3 linked regions of the Bombyx mori genome follow. The protein of the gene in region 1 interacts with the protein of each later gene in a biochemical or structural test. Links are inferred from orthologs where the notes say so. Each region holds a gene or a part of one and is shown in the gene's direction. Other genes may lie near its edges.

Region 1 (4,122 bases):
TTGTGTCCAAAATCATAATTAGCTATCGGTAGTATGGCCAGCCTCTGATGCCAACCTCTATGGCGATCTTTGATTAAACCTCTATTTTTTTAATTTCGAAATTTATAATTCGCGTCTTAAATTACCCCAATTTTAAAGAATTTATAAATCCACTAGCTGACCCGGCAAACGTTGTGTTGCCTTAAATAAGATTTCTAGGGAAATTCTACTGTAGAAAAAAAAACCTCATTTAACCACATAATACCTCATTGTAAACAAAAAAAAATATCCAAAAAATTAAAATAAAAAATAAATGTTTGGGGTCGACAACCCTTTTCACTTAGGGGTTTGAAAAATAGATAGTAGCCGACTCTCAGACCTACTGAACATACTATTGATACACAAATAAAACCAAAAAAACATGGCTGAAAAATGTATAGTATTGTATAGCTCTCAAATATATTAAGTGTATAATCTATGATGTATAGTGAATAAGTAAGACAGGAGACCGGCTTCGTCTCATCCCTACTACGTGATGTTTGCTGGATGAGTGGTGACACCTGGCGGGGATAGCTGATCGATTGATAGTTGATCAGTAGTCGACCGGCGAGGGCGGGAGATCAAATTCAATTTAAAAAAAATCATAATTAAAGGAACTTGAAATTATAAACTCTGAATAAGAGTTTATCGTACTACAATTATAATATTTGATTGCCATCTTGCAACCTTATTGCGGATCTGTGCATAGAATAAAAAAAATATTGATCGGGATGGAAAAATAGGGGTTGATCGTATAAGAGTGAAAATTGAGAGTAATATAATTTTTTTTATTTTAAGTCATGACAAAATACAAACAAAATTCTCGCAAAAATTTTTAGAAGTTTTTAATTAGCAAATAAAAAATAAGGGTTGATCGTAGAGAGGTGAAAATTGAGGATTGTATGTATTTTTGTATGTTGTATCATAAAAAAATAGAAATGAAAAATTTTGTCTAAAAAATAAATAAAAAAATTTAGGGGTGGACTACCCCTAACATTTAGGGGGATGAAAAATAGATGTTGGCCGATTCTCATAGATACCGGATAAGCACAAAAAATTTCATCAAAATCGGTCAAGCCGTTTCGGAGGAGTATGGCAACGAAAACTGTGACACGAGAATTTTATATATTAGATTGAGACATTTTGCAACTCTGTGGTGGTAATCAATGATTGCAATCGAGAGATGGTTACAATCGATTAAAACTTGAAGAGTTAGTCAGAAATGGGTCTTTTAGTTATGGTATTATTTTCTATGGCAACACGAAGCTTATCGATGAACAAATGAAATACGGCAACGTCACGCTAGGATTGAAGTTCGCCAAGTAATTATTTGGCGTTATAAAAATTATAATAGTTCTTAGATTCTAACAATAAATTTTGAATAAAATGGCAGATAATAAAAGGTGAGTGCTAAATTATATTCGTCAAATATTCAAAACGGAGTTTCATGTAAAATTTACACGAAATCGGCGAAGTACATTGTGAATGCATTTCGAATTTGGCTTGTCATCATGTCGAGAATTAAACTTTTAAAGTGTAGTGATTTTTTTATTTTCATCAATGACCTACAACAGCAATTTTATTATTCTACAGCATTGTAACTTTCTAATGCAAGAGTACTTAGTTCTGAAAACAAGTTTGTTCTATTTAAGAGACGGTGAGATGACAAATTAACACAAAAGAATTTCGGCATTTTGAAATCATTCCTATAAAAATGAATGAAATTGAGCACCCGAACTCACCAAATTTTCGAAATATATGTTTAGAAATGTGTAATTAAGTGAAACATCATCCTCAGCACCAGTGATAATCAGTTTGAACTTATGTCCAAAAATCATTAAAAAATACCAATACCATTTTAAATACAAAAATCTTAATGAAAAGACATTAATCCTTCTACTTAAACCAAACAAAACCCAAGTATTTCTACTAGTGAGAAATAAATGTTAAACTGAAGAGTAGTCATAATTGTCTTGTATTCCAGCCCTGATGATTTATCGACCGCGATCCTCCGTCGCAAGGACAGACCCAACCGTCTCATTGTCGAAGAAGCAGTCAGCGATGACAACTCAGTCGTGGCACTTTCACAGGTCAGTGCTTTGTCTCTGGACAAGATGTTTGGTTCATTCACTAAACCTTAAATAGCAATATTAGTACTTTTGCTTTGAACAAAAAAAAAGTAAATTTCGTCTGTCATCCTAACCTTCAAATAATAAAATTAACATAAACATAACACATAAAGGTTTTTTTTTTCAAATCAAACAAACAAAAGAACATCCCTAAAACTATTGTTTTGTTAATAAAATACAGTATTTTGTAAGACGCATAGGCACCATGCAAAAAAAAAAAATGTAACTACTGTTTTTAATAATTTAACAATAAAGAACAATGATTAAAATGTCTCTGTCCTTCCCCATTAATCTATAGAAAAGAACGAACCTTTGTAACATAGTTTATATGATGCAAAATATCCATTGTTATAACCATCAGAGTTGAATAACCTTTTTATCTCTTTAGGTCAATAGTAAAGCTGTAAGACTACTTTTTTTATTTATTCATTGCAAAGATGGGTGAATGTCCTCACGGCCTATGTGAGGAGTCCATAGACATCATAATGTGAATGTGACACCAACCTCAGTTGCCTTGAAGCTGTAATTCATTTTGGTCCAAAGAGTAGATTGAGTGACTGTTATAACTGTAAAACTGAGACCAGTTTACCACTTAACATCAGATGGGTCCTGAGCTTGTCCATCCATCGTAGCAATAAAGAAAAGAAAGAAAAAAAACTGTATGACAATGGCCAACCTATCTGTCAAATTGGAATGCATGACTGCACTCAACCCAGGCTTATAATACCACCGGTAAACTGTTACTGTAGTAAACTGTTGTCCAGTGTTTTTCAACTGATTATTAAATTTATAAGGTCTATTCCAAGTTATGTGAACTTATGTATGTTATACTCCTCAGCTTAAATATTTTATAGGATTTTAGCAAATGAGATGTCAGTTGGTTGTTTATTTTTATTTTTTATTTATTTATTAGACACACAATATATAACTAAGTAAAAAATCTGGTAACACAAGCGCTAAGAAAAGACAAAATAAAAACACCTAATAAAAGTGATATGTCATATATTATTTCAACATAGTGTCTCTGACAAAATTAATAGAGGAATAATATTTATTCATTGTTTTTTATAATTAAAGATATCTCTTACCAAAAACATTATCTGTTTAAGTCTGTTTCCTGCATAGAATGAATTTATTTTACAGAATCAATTGACTAAAAAGTATGAAATAAAATTAGTTACCAAGTGGAATAAAAAACTCACTTTATTTAAAATAGGAACTTAGAAAAACCTGATCTATATTGTTGGTACTACCAACTACTGTTTTGTTTGTTACCAAGTTGGTAGTGACCATTAAGGAAAACTTTGGAGACTTTGATTTAAAAAATACTACAGTACAGTACAATAAACGAACAGTACCTAAAAATTCTGAAGGGGCTGAAGAAGATTTGTGAGTTTAAGCTTAGGGCTATATTATGAATGTGTTAATGCTTCTCAACGAAACTCAATATTTTCGGACTGGTTAAAAATATACGTGGTTCTCCTAACGAGGTTTATAGAGAGTCCTTAGTAGTGGGCAACGTCTTGGTTGTGGTTCTGGGATCACTGACTTCTATAAGCAACAGTAATTTCTCACCATTAGGTGGACCGAGTGATTGTTTGCCTACAAGGTCAATAAAAAAAAAACTTGTATTATCATTATAAAAAAATTACCATTTTGTTGTTTGATTGTCAATCAGATATTGACAGTAAAGTCCTGTATCCGTATTGCCTGTCAATAAAAGCTTATAATAAACAATGCCCTTCCGATGCTAACATATGCTTAGAATCTATCTACTGTGAATTTACGTAGGTTTCGCTAGAGTGCCTTTGATTACACATAAACATTTACATTGATTATACATAATCACAAATTAATACACAAATCACTACGTTTCTTTCTATCAGCCTGTGTGGCACCGAAATATCCAGCTTCTGAAAGATTGTACTTGAGTGATGTATCAAAACTGTTACTGCAAGTTTTACTAATGCATAAA
Region 2 (4,073 bases), on another chromosome or scaffold:
AATGCAACGGATATCTTATCCTTTAGGCTACGTCGACGTTAAAACAGACAGAAAAAAATTGTGGGGTTTAAATAGTGAGTTTTGAGTTTTAAACAGAATGTCTTCATGAGCTACGGTAACCACTCATCATCAAGTAGGCCGCATGATCGTCTATCTACAAGTACAGTAGAAAAATAGAAGAATACATATAAATAACGATACAGAATAACTATTCATGTTAATTCAAGACTAAATTACAAAAACCCAAAACTTCTTCATTTTAAGTTCAAAGAGTAAACAAAAATCGTTAAATGTAGACTTTTGTCATCATTAGATCAAATTATGGAATGTAATAATAAATTAATGGCCAAAAAATATCGTCAATAAATGGTGTTAAAATATGCTTATTATTGACTAGTATAAGATCATTTATACATTTACTATTATTAGAAAAAAAACCTACCTCTATTGGGACTAATAGGTATATCATTTTGTAAATCGTACTACCCTCAAAAAAGTTTTCTCAAAACAAGCAGAGACACGTAAAGAACTAAAAGAACTAACCAAATCCTGCCCCGAAAATTACCAGTCTCGCTATTGCTCTTTATAAATTCATAGTAACTATTCTTGCCACTTTTTCCCGTTTAAATTGACTTTTAGGCACTGCCTTTTTTATTTCACCTACCTACCTACTTACTTCCATGCAAAAAGTAAGTGACTGACTGGTATCAGTGAAGAGAAGTTGTGAATGTGATTTTTTTTATGAGTCAGGTTATTCTTTCTGGTTACTGTCCGTACGTACCTATTCATGGCAAATAACAGGATTTTGCAGCTCTGCAGGAAAACACTGCAGAGAATTGACTGAATTCATTTACTTAAAGGGAAAAGTTCGGAACAAATCATACGACTTACACATTTTTAAACACATTAATTTATTATTTTAAATTTTAATATTGCAATCACTTACACTACGTTATGCCGCAAAAATCAAATAAATGTTACACATATACAGATTTGCGTTTGTGTAAGAATTAAATATTCTACTCGGATTATTTTGAGCCATTGGCCGAGCAAAGGCTCAGCCCTCCAGGAAGGGTAATGCTAAAAGTAGGTAGGTATGAAAATTATTAAAAAAAACTTTAATTATATAGTACTAGAATGATTTTATTGCTAGGGTAACATTTTTACAGTGGGTGAATGTCATATTTGGTGCTATCTCTTTTTGTTTACGTTGTTTCAAATATCACAAAAAGAGACATACTCTTTATACTAATTCATCTACAAAGATGACGCGTGTATTTTCATTATTAACTTCGTCATTGTCATTGTGCACTGTGCAGCCTCAAACGTCAAACAGCTGAGCGAGGTGACTGACTCGTTGTGTGGCTTGTGCTTCTTTTTCTTAAAAATATTGAAAGAAAAATTAACGTAACAGAATAGGCCGAACAAATTAATAGAAAAATCTACTCTATAATTTTCATCATGAGTGAATTGAGCCAAGAGGAGGTAAGTCAAAATAATTTTTTTAAACGACCGTCTATTACTACGTATGGCCAATCTAATTTCGTAACAAAACAAAGCGTCAATGGTGAACGTCCCAGCAATTGTCATTTACTCACACGTGCTGCAAGATGTCAATATTCGTTACAGATACGAAGAAGACGCCTGGTTCGTCTCGCAGCTCTTAATAGTGCAGGATCAGTGCCTACTTCAGCTAGTCCTCCGGTAACCCCTGGCGCCTCAATTCCTTCTCCTGACCTACACAGTCCACAGCAACCCTTACGATTGTCCCCAGCTCCTTCAACTAGAAGCTCTACAGAACCCACCACTCCTGACACAGCGAATGCAAATCAAGAGCCCAATTACTCAGAAGAAGTCAGGTCAGATCAATCAGATCAAAATAAAATATCAGCAGACGGTTTAATTGTAACAGAAAAAACTGACAACAATATATTGGATGAAATGCCAGACACAAAAATGACAGATCTTACACAAACACGACAGTACAGTAGCTTTGACTCAATGGGTGATGACACATTGATAAGTTGTGGGTCTGTGAGAGTGGGAAGCTTACCGCAAAATACTGTTGCTGGTTCAGAAGGGAGTTCTACAAGGGAAGATAGCACATCAAGATCAATATCTCCACCACAGTTTGTTGAGCCATCACCTGTACGACCAAGACAAACAAATGCTTCACCAAGTTGTTCTCGTCGTTCTTTGTCAATGGAAGTAGATGATGTGTCTGAAAGAAATTCTCAATCTGAAGCTCAGCAAGAACCAATGGAGGTAGCAAAGAACCGAAAATCCAATGTAACTTGTTGTAAAATTGTTTCTAACCTATTGTGTAATTTAAGGTTGAAGATGATTCATCAGCATCTCCGGCACGTAAAATACATAGATCTCGAACTGTCAGTTGCACAGAGTTGACAGAAGAGCAATTACGCACCATTGTATCAAAGATTCTTCAAGTTTCATGGTCAGATGACAGTGCAGGTAAATTAATATATATTAATTAGGAATGAAAGGAAAGTTAATGTTTGGAAATAATCTTTCCTACCTAATTTGGAAACAATCCATAATATTTTGCAATAATAACAAAATTGTTATTTTTTTAAAACAGTTCTTTCAATTTAAAATTCTATGAAATCAAGATATGTTTTTTAAAGGATTCTAGAATAAAACTTGTCACATTTAATTTTTCTGTACTTAATACTTATACTTAATCTTATTAAAGAGAGAATATTTGTATGCAGGTGGGATTTTTGTGCCAACAGTAGCAGCATCGTTACTTGATAATCCAAAACTTTCTCTGACTGAGCTCATATCTGAAGCTTTAATGGATGTCATAATACAAATAGCAGATGGTGGTGATCCATTGAATCAAAAACTTACTGCAATTATTGAGACTTCAAAGAACTTGAATGAGGAGAATGGTGAGGACTCTTTGTCCAATTCAACAAGTGTAGAAACAGATGCGGATAAACCTGAATGCCCATCACCAGCCCTACCAATCCAGAAAACGATGCCCACACAAGGCTTAGTTGTTAGTTATTTACTTCAATTCTACAATAATGTAAACTCATATGAAAGAGAACACCCCAAGAAGAGTTCAGAACCACCTTTGAGTGATTTGCTCCAAAGTTTGAGAACTATACTGGTCAATCATTTGGTACTAGTGTTACAAGGAAGGTTCGAATTGGAAAAGTGCAGGAAATCACCATTATTACCTTACATATTGATTGGGAATGCACCAACGGGCCTCATCCCAGAATTACTGCTTGCTACATATCTTGATAAAGAAATATTTGATGAGGTAAGGACCTTTATAATGTAACTTATTTAACAAATATCTTGAATAATGGATAGTCCAGGCTTGCTGCGTTTGTTGTTTCACTGGTTGTTCTCAGTACTGTAATTCTTTTTGGAACCAGTGGTAGAGTTTACAAGTTTTGTTATTCAACAAGTATGTTATGATGACATTTAAATTGAAATATAAATTATTGATTTGAATGTTTACCAACATTTGATATTCAAGATTTCTTGCAATTGAATTAAATTCAACCAATTATTGGATTTGAAATAATGGTATATGTTTGTTTTTATCTAACAAACAACTACATTGATATAAATTGGTTTATATTCATTTATAAATAAACTTAGTTAACCAACCAGTACAGTAAGAACACAAATATGCTGTATTAAACCAAATAAAAAGTTGAAAAAAACTTCTAAATTTGAACCTACTCCAATAAACACATAACTATTGCATTATTAAATTATTATTGATTTGAAATTTGAATTTGAAACAAACATTGTATTTGACAGACAAATTAGCAAAAAGATAACTTATGTTTTATTATTTAATTATGAACTTATGCACATATGTTGGGTAATGTATCTGTTCATTGTGTGTCTGTCTTTATACAACCTGCACTCCGCAATCCTTTTATTAAAAGGACAACAAATATCTTCACTAATACACTACAATAAGTATTCCACTGCTTTTATTAGTATATTGTGGAATTAAATCACATTTTTAACTATCAAATTAACGAAATATACTTGAAATGTCTTAAGATTTGAAACACACCCAA
Region 3 (4,270 bases), on another chromosome or scaffold:
AACTATACTGAGACCTTAGAAATTATATCTAAAGGTGGGTGGCGCATTTACGTGGTACATGTCTATGGGCTCCAGTAACCACGAAACACCAGTTGGACTGTGAGCTCGTCCACCTAAGCAATAAAAAAGGAAGTTCATTCTAAACCCAATGGTACATTTTTGAGAGCACTAATGTTGTAGTCCATGACTGATTGTGACCACGTACCATGAGGGGGGTCCCACGTAAACCTGCCCATGAGAGCACTAAAAATAAATTACCTTGAATATCGTATCCAGGATGATAATTAGGGTACCTTCCGAACTCCCTATTGAAGATACTGGCTGCTCTGCGCACCATCTTACTCAACTGTCCAGCCACAGGAGAAGCTACGATCTGCTTAGCCAAAGCTTGCACGTCGTCTACATTAGCTGTTATTAGGATGTACGACTCTGTCCTAATGAGAAGGGCTGGAGGGAAAACATAAATCAAACTAACAATTAACATTTAAAAAATGAAATGCTCCACCACAAATGGATTTTATCTAGTAGGCTATGATCAAACAATTTCCCAATAAACCTATTTCTCCAGTTGAGCGGGAGCATTTAGGTTGTAGATGTCTACGGGTTCAGGTAGCCAACTAACAACAGCTGGGCCATGAGCTCGTCCAAAACGTCGTGATAAACGCGACATTATACCATAAAAATAGTTTTATTTTTATCTGTAGCTCGGGAAAATCGAAGAATACCGAGGATATCAAAAATACAAATTAAAGGACTCACAAAATATAAAAAACATAGGAATAATCATGGTGCTTCGTCCAAAACTGGAAAATATGTAACGAAAGTGGCATTAAACGGTTGATATTAATAGAAAATGTCATTAAATTCAAATTTTAATGTAGTGTGAAATGCAGTACTTGGGCAATTAGAAATATTATTACGTTTGTACCTACAAATTTATAGATATACCTGTACAGTTTGTTTATTGAATGTGATTATAATTGAAATACCCAAACTTTTATATATACTTTCCCTTAAATAAAAATATCACATACGTTAGTTAAGCTAAGTCACAATATCATCAATTGAAATGTTACTTGTGTTGCCCAAATTAGAAATGTAATCTTGCTAATTTTAAACTAGAACTAAATTATTTGTAGCCACCGCTATGTACTATAAGTCATATTATTAAGTTTTAAGAACGATAAAGTGTATTCTGTGCTTGTACAGATAGTTACCGCCATTCTGCATTGAACGTAAACGTGATGTGGACGGCGGATGCAATACAGTTAATCAACATATTTTCATCTTTAGGGACTTTAGTAAGCGCTTAATGTTAGGTGGGTGGGGAGCTCAATTGCTAGCCTTCGATCAACACTATTGTTGATCGAAGTTGCTAGCAGTCAGAATATTTTAAGAATGTTTGCTCAAACATGTTGATGTTTTTCAACCCTAAAAGTCAGCTGTCAACGTCATATTGACAATTGATATGTAAGACAAAGTGTTGATTTTTGCAATCTCATTTTTTGCATACTTATTTAAATATCAAAACAATGGAATTAAATCTTCAACATGAAGATTTATTGATTAAATTAAGAGCTAAGCTGAACGAAGAAAAGATTAAATTATGGGAACCACCTTATTATCAGGCTGACAACGATCGCTCTCAAAATTTGCGGGTGCGTTTTATTTTTTTATTTTTTTCTATAATTTAAATGTGGCTTTAAACGTGCCGTATGTTGTTTTTAATAAATTAAAACTAATTTATATTTGTACGTATTTTAATACTGAACTGTTTTCGATTTAATACATTTTACTTAGTTTACAAAACGGCCTATATCACTTGATAAATTATTTCAATACAGTGTGTTGATTTGACTTAGTTTTCAAACAAGACAAGAAAAATGTTATAGAACACAACTCGAGTGAGATTAGTATTATTTAACTAAAAAGACTGGTTACCAGTGTTCATAGCAGAGCTACAAAAACATCACAGTCGAAATACTGAGTTAATTTCATAGACTAAAAGGAACCATAATAAAAAAAGTTGTATTTTCAATATTTTATTATTATAATTAACAGGATCTAGCATTAAAATACTCATCACAGCTATTACAAGACGATGAAACGGTGTTTTCTGCATTACGTGAATTACAACTGCATTCACTTGACCGATCCAAAGCAAATGCGGAGTACAAGGAGACAGGACTGGCTACATTCAGGGTGAAAGCTAATGTATCAGGACAAAAACCTGTAGTCTTAAAAATTCAAAAGAAGTTGGAAGTGCCAGGCAGTGATCTCATTGAAACAGTGGCTAAGGAGATTAGTGTTGGAACTGACAGGTAATTTGATGCTCTCTGAAATTTTTCTCAAAGAATAGCTCCTCACAATATTTGCCATTTAAGGCATTCCAACCCCATTACTGTATGATTAAATAGGGATCAGTTTCATAGCTTGATATATTTATCGTTCTTTCAGAATAAAATTGATATGCAATGGTAAAATTATAAAACCGACAATGAATCTCAATGAACAGAATATAAAAAATGGAGTACAAATAATGGCACTTATTATGGGAGGTAAGTAATATAATTTTTTCCTTTATACTAATCAGGGCTTAAAGCTGATTTTTGACATCAAAACACTATTGCCTCTGCCCATTAGGGTTTTCACTACATTGGTAAACATCTATGCCAACCTTCAATCCAGGACTTATGACAGCTTTGCAACTGATTTAATATTAAGAGTTAAACATTATATTTTAGGCAGAAGCTTGGCTTTACCAGTAGCATTTCTGGTTCCCAGCTGAGTCTGAGTTCTCCCAGCTGTCCTGTAAAACCGGAAAGGCCTTTGGGCCACCAGTAATCCTTCCATCCTAAAAAAGAAAAAGAGATGGCTTATGCCTATGAGTATGCCTACCTTCAGGTCGATGATTTGTTTGACTGCCTACAAAGACAATAGAAAAAAACTATATTAATAGTTATGTTCTGTAAAGTTTGTTTAGGATGTCTCTTTAAAGAGATCATGATTTTTTTAACACATCTTTTGAGTAAATTGTAATTGTATATCATATTGTAAAGTAGACACATTCTCATTAGGTATGGCGTAAAATAGTTGAAAATATATTGATTTGGTGGCCAGTTGATGTTAGAATTTGCTATGATCATATGGTCTGAAAATTTTTACTGCTCATGCTATCCCATGTGTGATGTGGAGAGTGGATCTGTCTTGCTGAAATGACTTACTGTCTAAATCTATGTTACCCAGCTGATGTCACTATTTTATAATGTTCTTGTCCCAAGCAGTCTCAACATGATTTTCCCCTATTTGTAATGGCATAAAGATGACACATTTTTTTGTGGACCAGTCAGGGGAACGGCTTGCAAATTAAACAGCTGACACTTGCATAAGGAAGAAACACCCAGATCTTGAATAGTTTTTTTCCCTACCTAAGCTGATAGCCTATGTCAGCATAACCTAACAAGTATGTGAGCTCACGTGGCTCAAACCTGACGACGTTGCTAACACTAACCGTACGTGCGTTTCAATTAACTGAAGAAAGAGTGTAAATCATTGAATAAGATTTGTATTTAGCGATGGTCACCGTACAAGCAGTCAAACGGTCAAGCGGATTTAACTAAAAATAAAATTTTCTGAATTAAAAAAAAACTGTTAGTAACCTTAGAATGCCCTATAATATAGAAGCCCCAGAGAACGTTAAGAAAGAAAACGATATGTACATGGAGATGAAATCCACACGTGACGATGCTCTGCTGCTGACCGATTGCGCCGAAGAGTTGACTGGCGACGATGAGTATTTAAAGGTAATGTTTTATCTATTAACACTAGAACAACCTTTCCCAGCGTTTTGACGTCGGATCGAAACTTTTTTGTATAATAATATATTTATTATTACATAAATATTTTTTTTATAATATAATAACAGTACCTCGATGACCTGGAGTTTTTTTTTTTTTTTGATAAATTGTGTTTTTTAGCAATTATATTTAAATACGAATTACAAATTGATAAAATAATGAAATAGGAATAATATTTTTCGATCTTACCGACAGAATAATAATAAAACATGAACTGGTTATGTAAATAAATTATCGATAAAGTTGATTGTTGAAAACACGAATAAAACAACATTTTCTGAAAATAAAACGTAGCTAGTTCGATTTATCGCCCCCGAAATCCCCTGTATACTAAATTTTATGAAAATCGTTCGAGCCGTTTCCGAGATTTAAATTATATATATATTTATATACAAGAATTGCTCGTTTAAAGA

What was found.
Region 2: the proteins of Ter94 (region 1) and ubiquitin conjugation factor E4 B form a complex in vitro, tested with the Homo sapiens proteins (2 studies listed by BioGRID and IntAct). The link is inferred for Bombyx mori from reciprocal best matches to the Homo sapiens genes VCP and UBE4B.
Region 3: the proteins of Ter94 (region 1) and NEDD8 ultimate buster 1 form a complex in vitro, tested with the Homo sapiens proteins (2 studies listed by BioGRID). The link is inferred for Bombyx mori from reciprocal best matches to the Homo sapiens genes VCP and NUB1.

What each region holds. Positions count from the first base shown.
Region 1 is NC_085125.1:11,209,083-11,213,204, reverse strand, and holds the start of Ter94 (transitional endoplasmic reticulum ATPase TER94), read left to right. Parts: upstream 1-1,317; 5' UTR 1,318-1,404; coding exon 1,405-1,421; intron 1,422-2,002; coding exon 2,003-2,108; intron 2,109-4,122. UniProt on the Homo sapiens protein: Necessary for the fragmentation of Golgi stacks during mitosis and for their reassembly after mitosis. Involved in the formation of the transitional endoplasmic reticulum (tER).
Region 2 is NC_085109.1:10,812,132-10,816,204, forward strand, and holds the start of ubiquitin conjugation factor E4 B, read left to right. Parts: upstream 1-1,248; 5' UTR 1,249-1,461; coding exon 1,462-1,485; intron 1,486-1,629; coding exon 1,630-2,265; intron 2,266-2,333; coding exon 2,334-2,472; intron 2,473-2,732; coding exon 2,733-3,292; intron 3,293-4,073. UniProt on the Homo sapiens protein: Ubiquitin-protein ligase that probably functions as an E3 ligase in conjunction with specific E1 and E2 ligases. May also function as an E4 ligase mediating the assembly of polyubiquitin chains on substrates ubiquitinated by another E3 ubiquitin ligase.
Region 3 is NC_085120.1:2,113,239-2,117,508, forward strand, and holds the start of NEDD8 ultimate buster 1, read left to right. Parts: upstream 1-1,445; 5' UTR 1,446-1,532; coding exon 1,533-1,658; intron 1,659-2,061; coding exon 2,062-2,321; intron 2,322-2,457; coding exon 2,458-2,558; intron 2,559-3,681; coding exon 3,682-3,803; intron 3,804-4,270. Other genes in the region: uncharacterized protein LOC101747105, read right to left, coding at 259-447, 760-803, 1,218-1,279. UniProt on the Homo sapiens protein: Specific down-regulator of the NEDD8 conjugation system. Recruits NEDD8, UBD, and their conjugates to the proteasome for degradation. Isoform 1 promotes the degradation of NEDD8 more efficiently than isoform 2.